2 linked regions of the Oryctolagus cuniculus genome follow. The protein of the gene in region 1 interacts with the protein of each later gene in a biochemical or structural test. Links are inferred from orthologs where the notes say so. Each region holds a gene or a part of one and is shown in the gene's direction. Other genes may lie near its edges.

Region 1 (6,366 bases):
CCGGCTGCGGTGGTCATTGGAAGGTGAACCAACGGCAAAGGAAGACCTTTCTCTCTGTCTCTCTCTCTCTCTCACTGTCCACTCTGCCTGTCCAAAAAAAAAAAAAAAAAAAGAGTGAGTTATGAAATGGTATTTGAGCTGGATCTTAGAAGGTATGGCCTTGACTGGAAAGCAAACTCTGGCCGAGCCAGACCTGGGAAAAAGCCAGCAGGTTCAGCAGGAGGTAAACAGACCATTTTGACTAGAGCAGAAAACCCCCATGATAGAACAGTGGGAGACAGACCTGTGCAAGAACCAAGAGGCAGATGATAGATGCTGAAACCAGGCTTTAAGGGGTATGCATTGCACTGCAGTTCCAGGCACTTGCTGAATGATTCTGGAGGAGTTATGCTTTCTAAGCCTGTTTCTTTCATCTGTAGAATAAGGCTGTTAACCATGGAACCTGTCTTTCTAAGGCAGCTGTGAAGATTCTGTGGGGCAGTGCCTGTAAGTCATTTAGCAGGGAATCGGGCGAACGCTCATGGTCAGGCATTCAGTAAGTACAATCACTGTTGCCAAGCCCAAGGTAAGCACATGCTGAAAGGCCTCTGGGCAGGAGAGAAATGGTCAGAGGTTGTTTAGGAGAGCAATCTCATCCGCGATGACTCCTCCAGACTGCCTTCCCTTCTCACCATCGCTGCCTCCCCAGTGACCATGCCCAAGGGGGAGTGCAGAACTGCCCACTCTGTGGGGACAAGCTGACCTGAGTGAGCTGCGGCCTCCGGAATGGGGACTCCCAGTCCCCACCATGCGCAGATTCACATCCAGGTCGCATTCTGGACGATAAAGCAGGTGGCTTTTTTTTTTTCTTTATTTTAAAGCACAGCTATTTCCCCCCTAATCCAGGGAGGAGTCCAGGTTCTCAGAGAGCAGCCCTGCTTTCTTACATCCTTTTAGCACTAAACAAGGAGCTTTTTCTCTGGTGAGTTTCTGAGGAAAGGCCGCTCTGTGGCTCAGTTTCCCTCCCTGTCCAGTGGGAGATGACAAGTCTACCTACTTTAGGAGGCTCTTGTGAGAATGAGAGAATGTTGTGCATGAATCGGGAACACATGTTAAGTGTCTGTCGGTGTTAGCCCACCTTGGTTAAGGACTGTATGTCTTCCACGTTGTTTGTAGTGCTTCTTCTTCATGCTCACGTATTTTGCAAGGACTGCGGAAAGCCTTGTGACAGCCTGGTTCAGCCCCATTGCCCATCTGGGGTAAAAGTTTAGCTGACGGCTTCTAAATATTCCTTCTCCACCCTTTCCACACATGTACCCAGTGGTGACTGTCCCTGTCAATTTCACTTCATATATGGCCGATAAAAGGATATAGCAAAGCCTTAAAATGAGTTGGGCACTTTATTAATAACAGCATCTACACAGATTTGAAAGCACACGCGCAGCAGGCTCAAGATCTCAGCCTATGATTTGCTATGTGGAGCACATCTGGGTTCACAAAACCCTTGCAATCAACTCCAGGAGCCCTGAGCAGAGTCCAGTTACTGAGCACTCAGGACCTCCCCTGGCACCATCAAGGCTCGGACAGGAAGATTCGGTATTGCGTAATTGCATCAGATACGACCAAAATACACCTGTGATCACATCGCAGAAGACAAAAGCAGCGCTCGCTGTGTGAGGGATATTGCAGCTCTGTCTGCTCTGCTTGTTAGGGCCTCCTGAAAAAGCAGCCGGGTTGGTGGGGATGAACTGAAAGCTCCTCCCAGTGTGAACAGAGGGTGAAGGCTCTTCTCGCTGACCACTGCTCTCAATTGAACGGAAACCTAAAACGGGTCACCCTAAAGCGGGGAGCCTGCGGGGAAGACCCGCTACTGCCGCCTCCTCCCGATGCAAAAAAAAAAAAAAATCTTGGCACCAGGCCTCCCCCCACCCCTCACCCGCCCCAAAGCAGTTGCACCGAGGTGATTAACGACATATTTGGTCAAGGAGCTACAAAAACATTTCCATCTTCATCGTATCTTCACATCTGATGGAAATAAACAGCGCCCACCCCCCACCCACGGAAGCGATTACGAAATTGGCGGGATAGAAAAACGAATCCGTCGATATCGGTTCAAGCCGTTTGTGTCCGCTACGTGCCAGGCACTGATGGGCGCTGAAGATACGGAGGAAAAGCAGGCCAGCAGGGCCTTTGTCCCGGTTTGAAGAAAGACCATTAACGAGAAAGCAAATGAGCCAGCGAATTTCAGCCAGCTGCGTGGACGAAGATGAAAACACACAACAGACAGGGCCAAAGGGCAGGCTCCTGAGCGGATGCCGCTGGCAGCGGTTCTTAATCCCCGAGCTAAACCACCCGTGTCTTGCAGTGACCTGGGGCAGGCTTCCCAGCACAGAGCATTAAATGCAAAAATCATTTACGGACTTAAGGAATCCTAGGACTCTCCAAGCTACAACGTCAGAGGCGGAAAACAAAGTCTTTAAGAATTCTCGAGTGGCGCGAATTTTGAATATTCATGCCGCCCAATCAGGAAAAGTCTGACCCTCAGCGGCGCGGGCTCCGCCCCAGAGCACAGCACCGGTCACCCGCAGGCCCGCAGGCCCGCAGGCCGAGCCCTCCCCGCGCCGAGCTGGCCACCCCGCCGCTTCCGGTGCTAAGCTGCTGCTGTACACAGCGGCCGCCGGACGCGCCTACTTGTGTCCTGCAGTCTTCCTAAACCAATAGCTGCAATCAGCCACTCGAGTTTAAGACGGCCCAGCGTGTGTAACAAAGCCGCCCGGCCACTGCCGCAACGCAGAGGGGTAGGGGCGGGCCATCGCCGCTGTTAGGAGTGAAGACGCACTTGGCACTCAACGCAAGTCCAATCACGCGCCGGGAACCTCGGGGTCGGAACGTCTTAGAGAATGCCAAGTACTCCACCCCCACTACGTCTGGGCTGCAGTAACTTACTTGTGCGAAGGGACTAAGGGGGGACGTTATGTGAACACGGCTCTTTCCCGATCAGATGGGTGGCTCTGAAAAGAGCCTTTGTGGGTTAGCGGCACGGCAGGGCCTCACTTGGAGCTGGTGTACTTGGTGACAGCCTTGGTGCCCTCGGACACGGCGTGCTTGGCCAGCTCGCCGGGCAGAAGCAGGCGCACGGCCGTCTGGATCTCCCGGGACGTGATGGTCGAGCGCTTGTTGTAGTGCGCCAGGCGCGACGCCTCGCCGGCGATGCGCTCGAAGATGTCGTTGACGAACGAGTTCATGATGCCCATGGCCTTGGACGAGATGCCGGTGTCGGGGTGCACTTGCTTGAGCACCTTGTACACGTAGATGGAGTAGCTCTCCTTGCGGCTGCGCTTGCGCTTCTTGCCGTCTTTCTTCTGCGCCTTGGTGACAGCTTTCTTGGAGCCCTTCTTGGGCGCGGGCGCGGACTTGGCTGGCTCGGGCATGGTAAACACCACACCAACGCGATACAGCGGGGAAAAGGAATAAGAGGATGGGCGGGCCTGATCCTCTTATAACCATCTTATGCAAATTAGGAATCAAAATGGCTTTCGTTTCCATTGGTCCGTGCAGGAAAGTTGCGTTTTCGGTAAAAGCCTGCGTAATGACAACAGCTCGACTTTATTGGCTGTTTCTGAAGCCATATTAGGACCAATGAAAAGCTCGTTCCTGACCCCACCCCCAGGGAAGCTTATAAAGGCTTTCTTCGTGGGTTCCTTTCAATCTTGTTTTGTTGCGAGGTTCTGCGCCCTAGCTGGGTTTGGTTTCTTTTTCTTAACTATGTCTGGTCGTGGCAAGCAAGGAGGCAAGGCGCGCGCCAAGGCCAAGTCGCGGTCGTCGCGCGCCGGGCTGCAGTTCCCCGTGGGCCGGGTGCACCGGCTGCTGCGCAAGGGCAACTACGCCGAGCGCGTCGGCGCCGGCGCGCCCGTCTACATGGCGGCCGTGCTCGAGTACCTGACGGCCGAGATCCTGGAGCTGGCGGGCAACGCGGCGCGCGACAACAAGAAGACGCGCATCATCCCGCGCCACCTGCAGCTGGCCATCCGCAACGACGAGGAGCTCAACAAGCTGCTGGGCAAGGTGACGATCGCGCAGGGCGGCGTGCTGCCCAACATCCAGGCTGTGCTGCTGCCAAAGAAAACCGAAAGCCACAAAGCCAAAAGCAAATAAATTTGACGACCTGAACCAAAGACCAAAGGCTCTTTTTAGAGCCACCCAAGTTGTCAAAGAAAGAGCTAACGCGCTGCTTGTTATCAGCCCTCCGCTTGACACTGTGGTGGCTCTTAAAAGAGCCTTTTGGGTGGACGGGAGTGGTGTCACGCCTAATCAATCACTTGCTCTTGCCAGGCTTGTGGCTCTCCGTCTTCTTGGGCAGCAGCACGGCCTGGATGTTGGGCAGCACGCCGCCCTGCGCGATGGTGACACCCCCGAGTAACTTGTTGAGCTCCTCGTCATTTCTCACGGCCAGCTGCAGGTGGCGCGGGATGATGCGCGTCTTCTTGTTGTCGCGCGCCGCGTTGCCCGCCAGCTCCAGGATCTCGGCCGTCAGGTACTCGAGCACGGCCGCCAGGTACACCGGGGCGCCGGCGCCGACGCGCTCGGCGTAGTTGCCCTTGCGCAGCAGCCGGTGCACCCGGCCCACGGGGAACTGCAGCCCGGCGCGCGATGACCGCGACTTGGCCTTGGCGCGCGCCTTGCCGCCTTGCTTTCCGCGTCCAGACATGACGGCTAAAAACCTGATTTCAGCTTGTTTTTCTAGGAGAGGCTATGGAAAGGATAGGCAATTTGATGTAATTTATAAGAGCTACCGGGAGGGGTGAAGGGAGGCAGTTTTATTGGCCGAGAGCGGCAGCCAATAGGAAAGCGGCACTCGGCCTTTCGGTTTGCATCCTGCGGCTGCGAGGAAATGACGGCTTTTGTATCTACCTACCAATCGCTGAGAGCCACATTAAAGCCCCTTATTTGCATGCCAGGATTTTTAAAGAGAGAAGGTGTTTTTTTTTTTTTAAATGCTTTCTTTTTCACTGAGTGGCAACATGTGGGGTTTCTTTTACTCCACATTAGGGTAATGGAACTCCATAAAAGACCCCCAAAGGACTCTCAGAGGGAAAGCCCTCCCTCGCAAGGTACCGGGTTGTGAAACCGAGTGTCCCCTGAGGCCTAATGACCGAGGCCCGCCCTTCCTGCCGCGTCACAGCCAGACTCTCTCGGTAAACATTATTACGGCTGTCTCCTGTCAGCTCAGTGCAGCCGCTGGCCTCAGAGTGGCTTCGCCCTCCCTCCGCCACCCACCTGTGCCCCTCGCCACCCACCTGTGCCCCTCGGAATCGGGTTTGGCTAACGGGCAGAATTGGTCTGCCGTCCTGCTCGTGACCTCCAGGAGGCGTCCTAGGCCGCCTTAGAATTCGTCCCCTAGGCGTTCAACATGTGCCCCACCCACCCACCACACACACACACACACACACACACACACACACGTTTCTTACCTCTCTGGCTTCGCTTGTCCTGGGCCTATTCCTCTGCCATCTCTAAAAACGCGATTCTGCTTTGACTCTGCTCTGCCTATCCCCAGGCCACTCTTCCCGACATTTTCCCCGTTTCAACTAACGCACTAGTTTGTTTCAAATGCTCAGTCCCTTCTGTCTGCTTCATGGATGCTTCGCCCTGTTGGTCCCAGCAAGCACCTCCGACTCAACTTCATGAGGCTGACGCTGTGGCCTGGCGCGTTAAAGCCGCGGCCTGCAAGCAGCGCCGTCATCCCAAACGGGCGGCAGTTCAAGTCCTGGCTGCTCCACTGCCCATCAGCTCCCTACTAATGCACCTGGGAAAGCAGCAGAGGATGGCCCAAGTCCTTGGGCCCCTGCACCCACGTGGGAGACCCAGAAGCTCCTCCTGGCTTCTGGCTTCGCGTCAGCTCAGCTCTGGCAATTACAGCTATTTGGGGGAGTGAACCAGCATATGGAAGACTTCTCTCTCTGTAATTCTGTGTTTCAAATTAACAAAAATAAATCTAAAGAACAAAAAACTCAACTGCCGCCTATCCAAACAGCAAACTCATGCAAACAACCCCTCCCTCTTGCTCTGAATTATACCAACATCTAGGACCTACTCTACTCTTCCCTTCATCTCAACAGCATGTCTTTACTGTAACTTCCTCGGCCATTTTTTCTTGCTTCCCTCATCTGCTTCACCACCCTCTTGGAACTTGGCCATGAGGCTCCACAGGCTGTCAGGCTCCACAGACCGGCAGGCGCCCTCCACCTGCCCCTGCTTCTCCCCTGAAACTCCCTCTGTCTCCTGCTCCCATCTCAGGGAGCTCTACACCCCCGACTCTGTTTTCATTCTTTCCTTAGGAGCCTATAAGGGCAGGAGGTGGAACGCTTTGGACAAAAGGACACACTT
Region 2 (7,736 bases), about 66 Mb from region 1:
TTCATCCTTCCTTCTCTGTACTTTAATTTCCTCTCCTGAGTTGCCTACTCCATAACATCCTGTTTGCCCAGTTTGTTTTGCTACATCAGCAAGTCAGCTAATAGTAATTTTCCATTCTGTGTTGAAAATGGGCCACTAGACATTTTCTTACAGTATGTATGCAAATAGGTTGTGAATTTAAGTTCCATTTTGAGACTGCTGTTGTTGCCATTGGTGGTAGTTATTGAGACTACATTTGCAAGGTTCAGAATTCAAAAGGTACCTACAGTTAGAGAGTGTTAAGTCTCACTCATCTCAGTCAGCAGTTCTTGTTTGAGGTAGCCATTGTCATCTCTTCTGTGTGTGACCTTCTAGAGATATTTTCTCCATTTTTAAACAAATGTGTATTTATTTATATAGAGACTTGTAGAAAGTTGCCTTATACATTAAGAAATATTTAAACTTAGAATTTTTTTACGTAAAAAACATGGAATTATTGGTTATATCTCCAGCATTCTAAAGCATATTGCTATTTGTTTATAGGCTTGGAAGAGAAAATTACATGATTCTGGCTGATGGGGGAAGATGTTTCCTTCCTTTCTTGGGCATAGGACTATCCCTTTGCTCGATTTTGAAATTAGCCAGTATTTTCTTTGCTCCTCTTTTTAAAGTCTCTGCCCTAATTTTTTTAGTGCCCAAGCCCCTAGTATCTAAATTGATCACTCTTTTTTTTCTTTTTCTTTTTTTGACAGGCAGAGTGGACAGTGAGAGAGAGAGACAGAGAGAAAGGTCTTCCTTTGCCGTTGGTTCATCCTCCAATGGCCGCCGCAGCCGGCACACCGCGCTGATAAATTGATCACTCTTTATTCAGATCTCTTCTGTCTCCAGAAATGCTCTATGCTACCAAGTTACCTGTTTGTCTTCATCCCCCAGTAAAAATAATAATTCTTCAGTAATTTGATCTCAGCTAGATGTTGCTTAAGAGAAATCTTAAATAATTTATACTTACTAATAATTTTCACAGAAGTACTTTGAGTTTTAAGAAATTATTTATATGTTAGATTTTCTGGTAAATTTCAGAAATAAGCATATAAATTATGGTTTATCATTTGGCTTTGATCTTCAAAGATAATTTGCTACCATCATGCATGATTGATTACCTGACTTGTAAGTCTGACTCTAGGGTCAGCTTCCCTGAGTTGTGACTACATTTTTGTTTTTCACAGTTTTCAAAATTCCAAAAAATTAAAATTAAAGAGTTATTGACCTGTCATGGGAGGCAGAGTAGTATGTATTAGGGATTTTGTAGAGGTTTTGTATAGTTAGCCCTTTCTAAAATTCTGTGTGTTCCTTTGTATACTTCAGAATAACATGGGCGCTTTATCTAGCTCTCTGTTCTCAGTATTTTCTCACTATAGCTTCAGTTTAGGTGGTGCACAGCCTCTGACATTAGAGAGGTATAGAGAGGTGTTGGTGGTATGTCTGCTTCTTTTATGATTTGATCTCACAAGTCAGTTCACCTGTATAGAGTGATATAGATATAAATGTGGATATATAGTCTGTGATACATGCATAGCATATAAAGCTAATTGCTATGGGGCACATAATGGATATGGGTAGGATATTACTTTGAAATTAGTGCAGAGGACGTTTAGTTGATCCTGTAATTGGAAAAACATAACCTGCCTCCCTTTAGTAGCTTAGATCTTTTAAGATGTTACCTTTAATTTAAAACATCATAATATGCAATATAAATTCATAGTTAGGTAGTAGAGTGATGGATCTTTATTTGAATAGCTATATAATAAAACGAATTTCTAAATTTCTTCAGTTGATTTTCAGAAGTTTAAGTTTGCAAAAGAAGAATGTGGACTTTGATTTTAAGAACATTGTAGGAGTCCTCATTTGTACTTCAGAAAATAAAGATGGATTATTATTTCAGTTGATTGTTTTTAAATGTGGCAATTGCTTATATTAGTTAATCAAAGGTAATTTTCTTCCATTTTGATAACATAGACTAAATTTGGCCGAAGGTGGACCAAAATTGCAAAGTTAATTGGAAGCCGCACTGTTTTACAAGTGAAGAGTTATGCCAGACAATACTTTAAAAATAAGGTAAGCAGAATATAAATATCCTTGTTATTAATGATACATTTAGAATGAGCAAATTAATAAGCAGAAATGTTTCTTTAATTTAGGCATTAAAGTTTTATTGTTTAAAGTTTTTATACGGAAAGGGTTTGATATCCGTAAACTACTATATGAATATTTATTTAAACTTTAGAGCATGTCTTTATTAATAGTGTTATTAATGTCATACAGCAAAATAGAATTAGAACTTTGGGAACATTAATGCTAACATGATTTTTGAAGTCTGTTAAGTAACAATGAAATTCTTATAGTGTTGAAAAATTGAAAATTTTAATAAATTACAGGATTCACAAAAGTGCAGTTTTTTCTAGTTTCTTATTTTTTCAGTATCAACCATGCGGTTGATGACAAGAGCCTTGGGTGATTACTGACATCATAAATAAGAGTGTCAATTGTTAAATCAACAACGGGAGTCACTGTGCACCTACTCCCCATGTAGGATCTCTGTCCTTAATGTGCTGTACTATGTGAATTAATGGTAAAACTACTACTCAAACAGTACTCTATACTTGGTGTGTCTGTGTGGGTGCAGTCTGTTGAAATCTTTACTTAGTATATACTAAGTTGATCTTATGTATAAAGGTAATTGAAAATGAATTTTGATGAAGAATGGGATGGGACAGGAAGTGGATGGTTGCAGGTGGAAGGGAGGTTGGAGGGAAAAGCTGCTATAATTCAGAAGTTGTACTTTGGAAATTTATATTTATTAAATAGAAGTTGAAAAAAAAAGACTTACGAGAGGTCTTCCATCCACTGTCAAACTCCCCAGCTGGCCGCAACCGCCAGGGCTAGGCCAGGCTGAAGATAGGAGCTAGGAGCTTCTTTCAGGTTTCCAACCTGGATGGCAGCGACCCAAACACTTGAGTCATCTTCTGCTGCTTTTCACAGGCCAGTAGCAGGGAGCTGGATTGAAAGTAAAGCAGCTGGGACACAAACTCGCGCCCAAATGGGAGTCCAGCGTTGCAGGAGGTAGCTTTACCCCATGTATCGTACCACCAGCCCCAACTATGTGATTTTGATAGTTGGAATTTTTAAATATATTCTGCTCTAAGAACATAATTATATAAAATTTGAAAATATTATAAGTGAAATTTGATGTTTTCTTTCAGTGTGGCTAGTAGACTGTACCCTGTATACAAGATTTCTCTTAGTGTTAACTGGCATGGGCAGAAAGTGATAGAATATATTCGTTGTACATAAATCATCCACTTCCTCTTAAACAAAAGTACTGTTGGGGCAGCTTGCTAAGGTTGAGGTATTAAGAAGAATAAAGCTTAATGTGGTGGTTATTCTACCTGCAAGCTTTTCAAACTGCAATATTTAGTTTATCTTGGAGTGTCAGTTTTACTGAAAGACTGTGGTAGAAAGATACATTTCAATATTAGAATGATTAGTATGTTATAAAATCTAATCCAAAATATCTGAATTTTTAAGATTAAAAACGGGACCAAATAAATAGCAAGGTTGCTAGAGAATATTTCAGCTTGTATGTCCAAATCTTGTTTTCCTTCCTGCTATTCTTTTTTTTTTTCTACGTAGTAAGCCAATTAACACCAAATATTTAATCCTAGAATGCTGACGTGATATTAGGTCTAGAAATAGTCTTTCTGAAAGTTGTTATATCCCTTGGGTATAGCAATCATTTACAAAATTTTTCAAAAACTTTCTATGTAAGGATTTTTTATTTCAAGTCATATTTAATCATTGCCTTTTTTTTTTTTTTAAGATTTTTTTACTTATTAAGAGTTATAGAGAGAGAGTGAGAGAGATCTTCCATCTGCTGGTTCACTCCCCAGATGGCTGCAACTGCCAGAGCTGGGCCAGGCCAAAGCCAGGAGCCAGGATCTACATCCAGGTCTCTCACATGGGTAGCAGGGGCCCAAACACTTGGGTCATCTGCTGCTGCTTTTCCTAGACCATTCACAAATTGCTGGATCGGAAGTAGAGCAGCCGGCACTCGAACCTGCGTGCTGTGGGATATGCTGTGTTGCAGATGGCAGCTTTACCTGCTACACCACAGTGCCAGTACCTACTCATTGACTTTTATTATCATTCTTGTGTTGTATTATCAGATAGCTATGTCTGTATAGCTGATATGGAAAGTAATTGCATGACTTAAAATGTAAGTGCTATAATATTGGAGCTGCATTAAATGAACGTACAAAAAACTGTTTTTTTGTTACTGTATCTAAATGAAAGATAGGCCGGCACCTTGGCTCAATAGGCTAACCTCCACCTGTGGTGTCAGCACACTGGGTTCCAGTTCCGGTTGGGGCACCAGATTCTGTCCCGGTTGTCCCTCTTCCAGTCCAGCTCTCTGCTGTGGCCCGGGAGTGCAGTGGAGGATGGCCCAAGTCCTTGGGCACTGCACCGGCATGGGAGAACAACAGGAGAAGCACCTGGCTCCTGGCTTCGGATCAGCGCAGTGCGCCGGCCGCAGCGGCCATTGTGGGGTGAACCAATGGAAAAGGAAGACCTTTCTCTCTCTCTCTCTCTCTCTCTCTCTCTCTCACTGTCCACCCTGCCTGTCAAAAAAAAAATAAATAAAATAAATGACAGATGGTTTTAATTTACTAAGTAGGATAAGTGAGATAAATGTGATAGATTCTTTTAAGAAAAAGCTTTAAAGAAACAGTCAGCTGAGATATTAGACATTTAAGAAAAGAGCTTTTATAAATATTTTAATATCTTGTAGAACTTCTTAGTATGACAGTTACAGGTTGATTGTGATTGGTCTAAGCCAGACACGTATTTTAAACTTAATATTGACAAATAAATGGTAGTTCTATATAGACCATGGTTATTTGATTAATAGAAATCACCACATTATGAATTAATCATATATCTAAGGAAATTTAAAATGTGATCTTTTACATTAAAACTACAGTTATAAATCCAAGAGAAGCAGAATAAAAGTATAATGTATCATTAACATGCACTCACTTGAATTATATTATTGTATATTATTGTATTTATTGTGTCAGTGATTAAATTTTAAAATCTTAATATTATGGAGGTTTTATTCTGATTTTTTTTAATAAGGTAAAATGGGGTCCGGAGAAAGAAACACCAAATCAGAAAAGTAGCAGTGATCTTCAAGTTAAAAGTGAAGACAAAGGGACAGAGGCATGGATACCATCATGTTTAAGGGGACATGCTGATCCCAACTTGAATGCTGTAAAAATTGAAAAATTGTCTGATGATGAAGAAGTAGACATCACAGACGAGGTGGATGAATTCACTTCTGAAGCACCCCAGAAGAATTCTAACAGTGGTCTCTTATTAGACATTATTCCTAGTAGTAGTAGTATGCATGAAACCAATCAAGGAGAATGCATTGCATCTGATAGCCAGGAAGACCCCTTTTTTAAATCTTCCGGGGAATATCTTAAGAATCTAAAGCAAGATGAAATGGAAACACTTTCAGGCTCACAGATTACATTACAGACTGACAAACCGAGCAACAATGACAAAAAATCAGTTGAATTAAAAGATGAGAAATGTAATAAACCAATTCAGAACTATAACGGGCATGATGGAAATGGACTGATAGATGATGCGAGTCAGTGGCCTTCTCTTGAGACTTGTGAAAATAAAGATTTGAGTGACAATGAAATGCTTTTTCATTCTTCTTGTCATGTTGTGGAAGAAAGCCACGAGGAAGAAGAGCTTAAGCCACCAGAACAAGAAGTAGAAATAGATAGAAATACCATTCAAGAAGAAGAAAAACAAGCAATTCCTGAGTTTTTTGAGGGGCGTCAAGCTAAAACACCAGAACGCTATTTGAAAATTAGAAATTACATTTTGGATCAGTGGTAAGAAAAAATTACATTTTAGATGCCTTTTTAAAAACCTGATACTCTTTAAGTGTTTTAGTTAGGCCTATGCAGAATTTAGAATTTTGGTGGCAATAAGAGTGTTTTCACATAACAGCATTTCAGTAGGAAAAATTTAACTTTCTCACAGTGAAACTTTTTTGAAAGCTTTGGTCATGTATAGCTGTCACAATACCATCTGTCTGTTCATCTGAGTGTTTGTGCTTGGAAAGAAAAGGGATGAATAACTGCTTCAAGAAGCAATTCCTTGGGACAGAAATAATGCAGATGTAGAACACTACTGTACTGGGAATAGGAGAGAATTTTTCTTTTTGGGATTTATCATGTACTTTAAGTGCAAAGAAGGAAAGATTTGGTGACAGAGGATGGTATCATTAAATGTGGCCTCTTTGCAGAAACTCCACCTGAACAGCTGTCTTAAATGCCTTCAGCTTTAAACTTGTGGTGGAATATGCTAATAATTTCTTCATCCAGCTTCATCAAGGTCCAGGAATTTTCTAATATGTGAAATTTACCCTCTAAATTGTTAATACATTTTACTTGAACTATTTAGTGGGCCTAGGGAGCAAACCAAAAAACTTCTTACCTCGTTAACCTGATAAAAGTAATTTGAAGTAATCTTGACATCTTAATTAAGCCATCATTAAACACTCATAATTGCTACTACTAGTTCATGAACTGTTGAATCATATAGGGCCATTTTTAGAGAGGGCTTCCCAGTTCCTTGAGTAGGGATTCTGCTTTGTCCCTTGTTTTTCTCTTTTGTTCTGTCTTCCTCTCCTTTGCAGTAACTTTCTGCTATAGCTTTGGAAGGTTACATAAAGGAAACTTAATAATGTGCCAAATCAATAGCCTTCATTTTGCCCACATAATATTAAGTCATTAGGTTTTTAAAGGTAGCAGTATTCTAAAAGGAGGATTTTTGTTCTTGTTCTTGATACATGGTTATCTTGCAGATGCTTGACATGCCAAAACAACTTCTGGGTAAGGAGGCAGCATAGTAAAGAATGCTGACAAGGAACAACTGTCATTTACATGGTACTTAGCTGCTTAAAGAAAGACTTGCTCTCTGTTCTTATTTGCTGTATAGGCCTCACAGCAGTCCTCTGACATAGTGAAAGGGACTTAACCAGCCACTGACTCCTGAAAGACTTCATTTCAAGTCTTGACTATAATCAAGTAAGGCAGAATAATTTGCATAGATACTGCAAATTATATGGCAGTAGTTTCCTAAACTATTTGTTTTAGTTGATGAAACCAATAGATACTGCTATTTAAACATGATGATTTAGGAAAATGGTGTGAAGGCTGAAAATAAATGTTTTTTTGTTTGTTTGTTTTGTTTTGTTTTGTTAGCCAGAGTGGACAGTGAGAGAGAGAGACAGAGAGAAAGGTCTTCCTTTGCCGTTGGTTCACCCTCCAATGGCCGCCACGGCTGGCACACTACAGCTGGAGCACCGTGCTGATCCGAAGCCAGGAGCCAGGTGCTTCTCCTGGTCTCCCATGCGGGTGCAGGGCCCAAGGACTTGGGCCATCCTCCACTGCCTTCCCGGGCCACAGCAGAGAGCTGGCCTGGAAGAGGGGCAACCGGGACAGAATCTGGCACCCCGACTGGGACTAGAACCTGGTGTACCGGTGGAGGATTAGCCTATTGAGCTGCGGCGCCGGCTTCTTTTTTGTTTGTTTTTAAAGATTTATTTATTTATTTATTTGAGAGGCAGAGTTACAGACAGAGAGAGGGAGACACAGAGGTAGAGGTCTTCCATCTAC

Evidence for each region.
Region 2: of the proteins of histone H2A type 2-C (region 1) and MYSM1, one has a biochemical effect on the other in vitro, tested with the Homo sapiens proteins (2 studies listed by BioGRID). The link is inferred for Oryctolagus cuniculus from reciprocal best matches to the Homo sapiens genes H2AC20 and MYSM1.

The regions. Positions count from the first base shown.
Region 1 is NC_091438.1:48,063,330-48,069,695, reverse strand, and holds histone H2A type 2-C, read left to right. Parts: upstream 1-3,681; 5' UTR 3,682-3,744; coding exon 3,745-4,134; 3' UTR 4,135-4,180; downstream 4,181-6,366. Other genes in the region: histone H2B type 2-E, read right to left, coding at 3,030-3,410; histone H2A type 2-B, read right to left, coding at 4,295-4,687. UniProt on the Homo sapiens protein: Core component of nucleosome. Nucleosomes wrap and compact DNA into chromatin, limiting DNA accessibility to the cellular machineries which require DNA as a template.
Region 2 is NC_091438.1:114,362,496-114,370,231, forward strand, and holds part of MYSM1 (deubiquitinase MYSM1), read left to right. Parts: intron 1-731; exon of another isoform or gene 732-869; coding exon of another isoform or gene 870-911; intron 912-1,995; coding exon 1,996-2,094; intron 2,095-5,172; coding exon 5,173-5,945; intron 5,946-7,736. UniProt on the Homo sapiens protein: Metalloprotease with deubiquitinase activity that plays important regulator roles in hematopoietic stem cell function, blood cell production and immune response.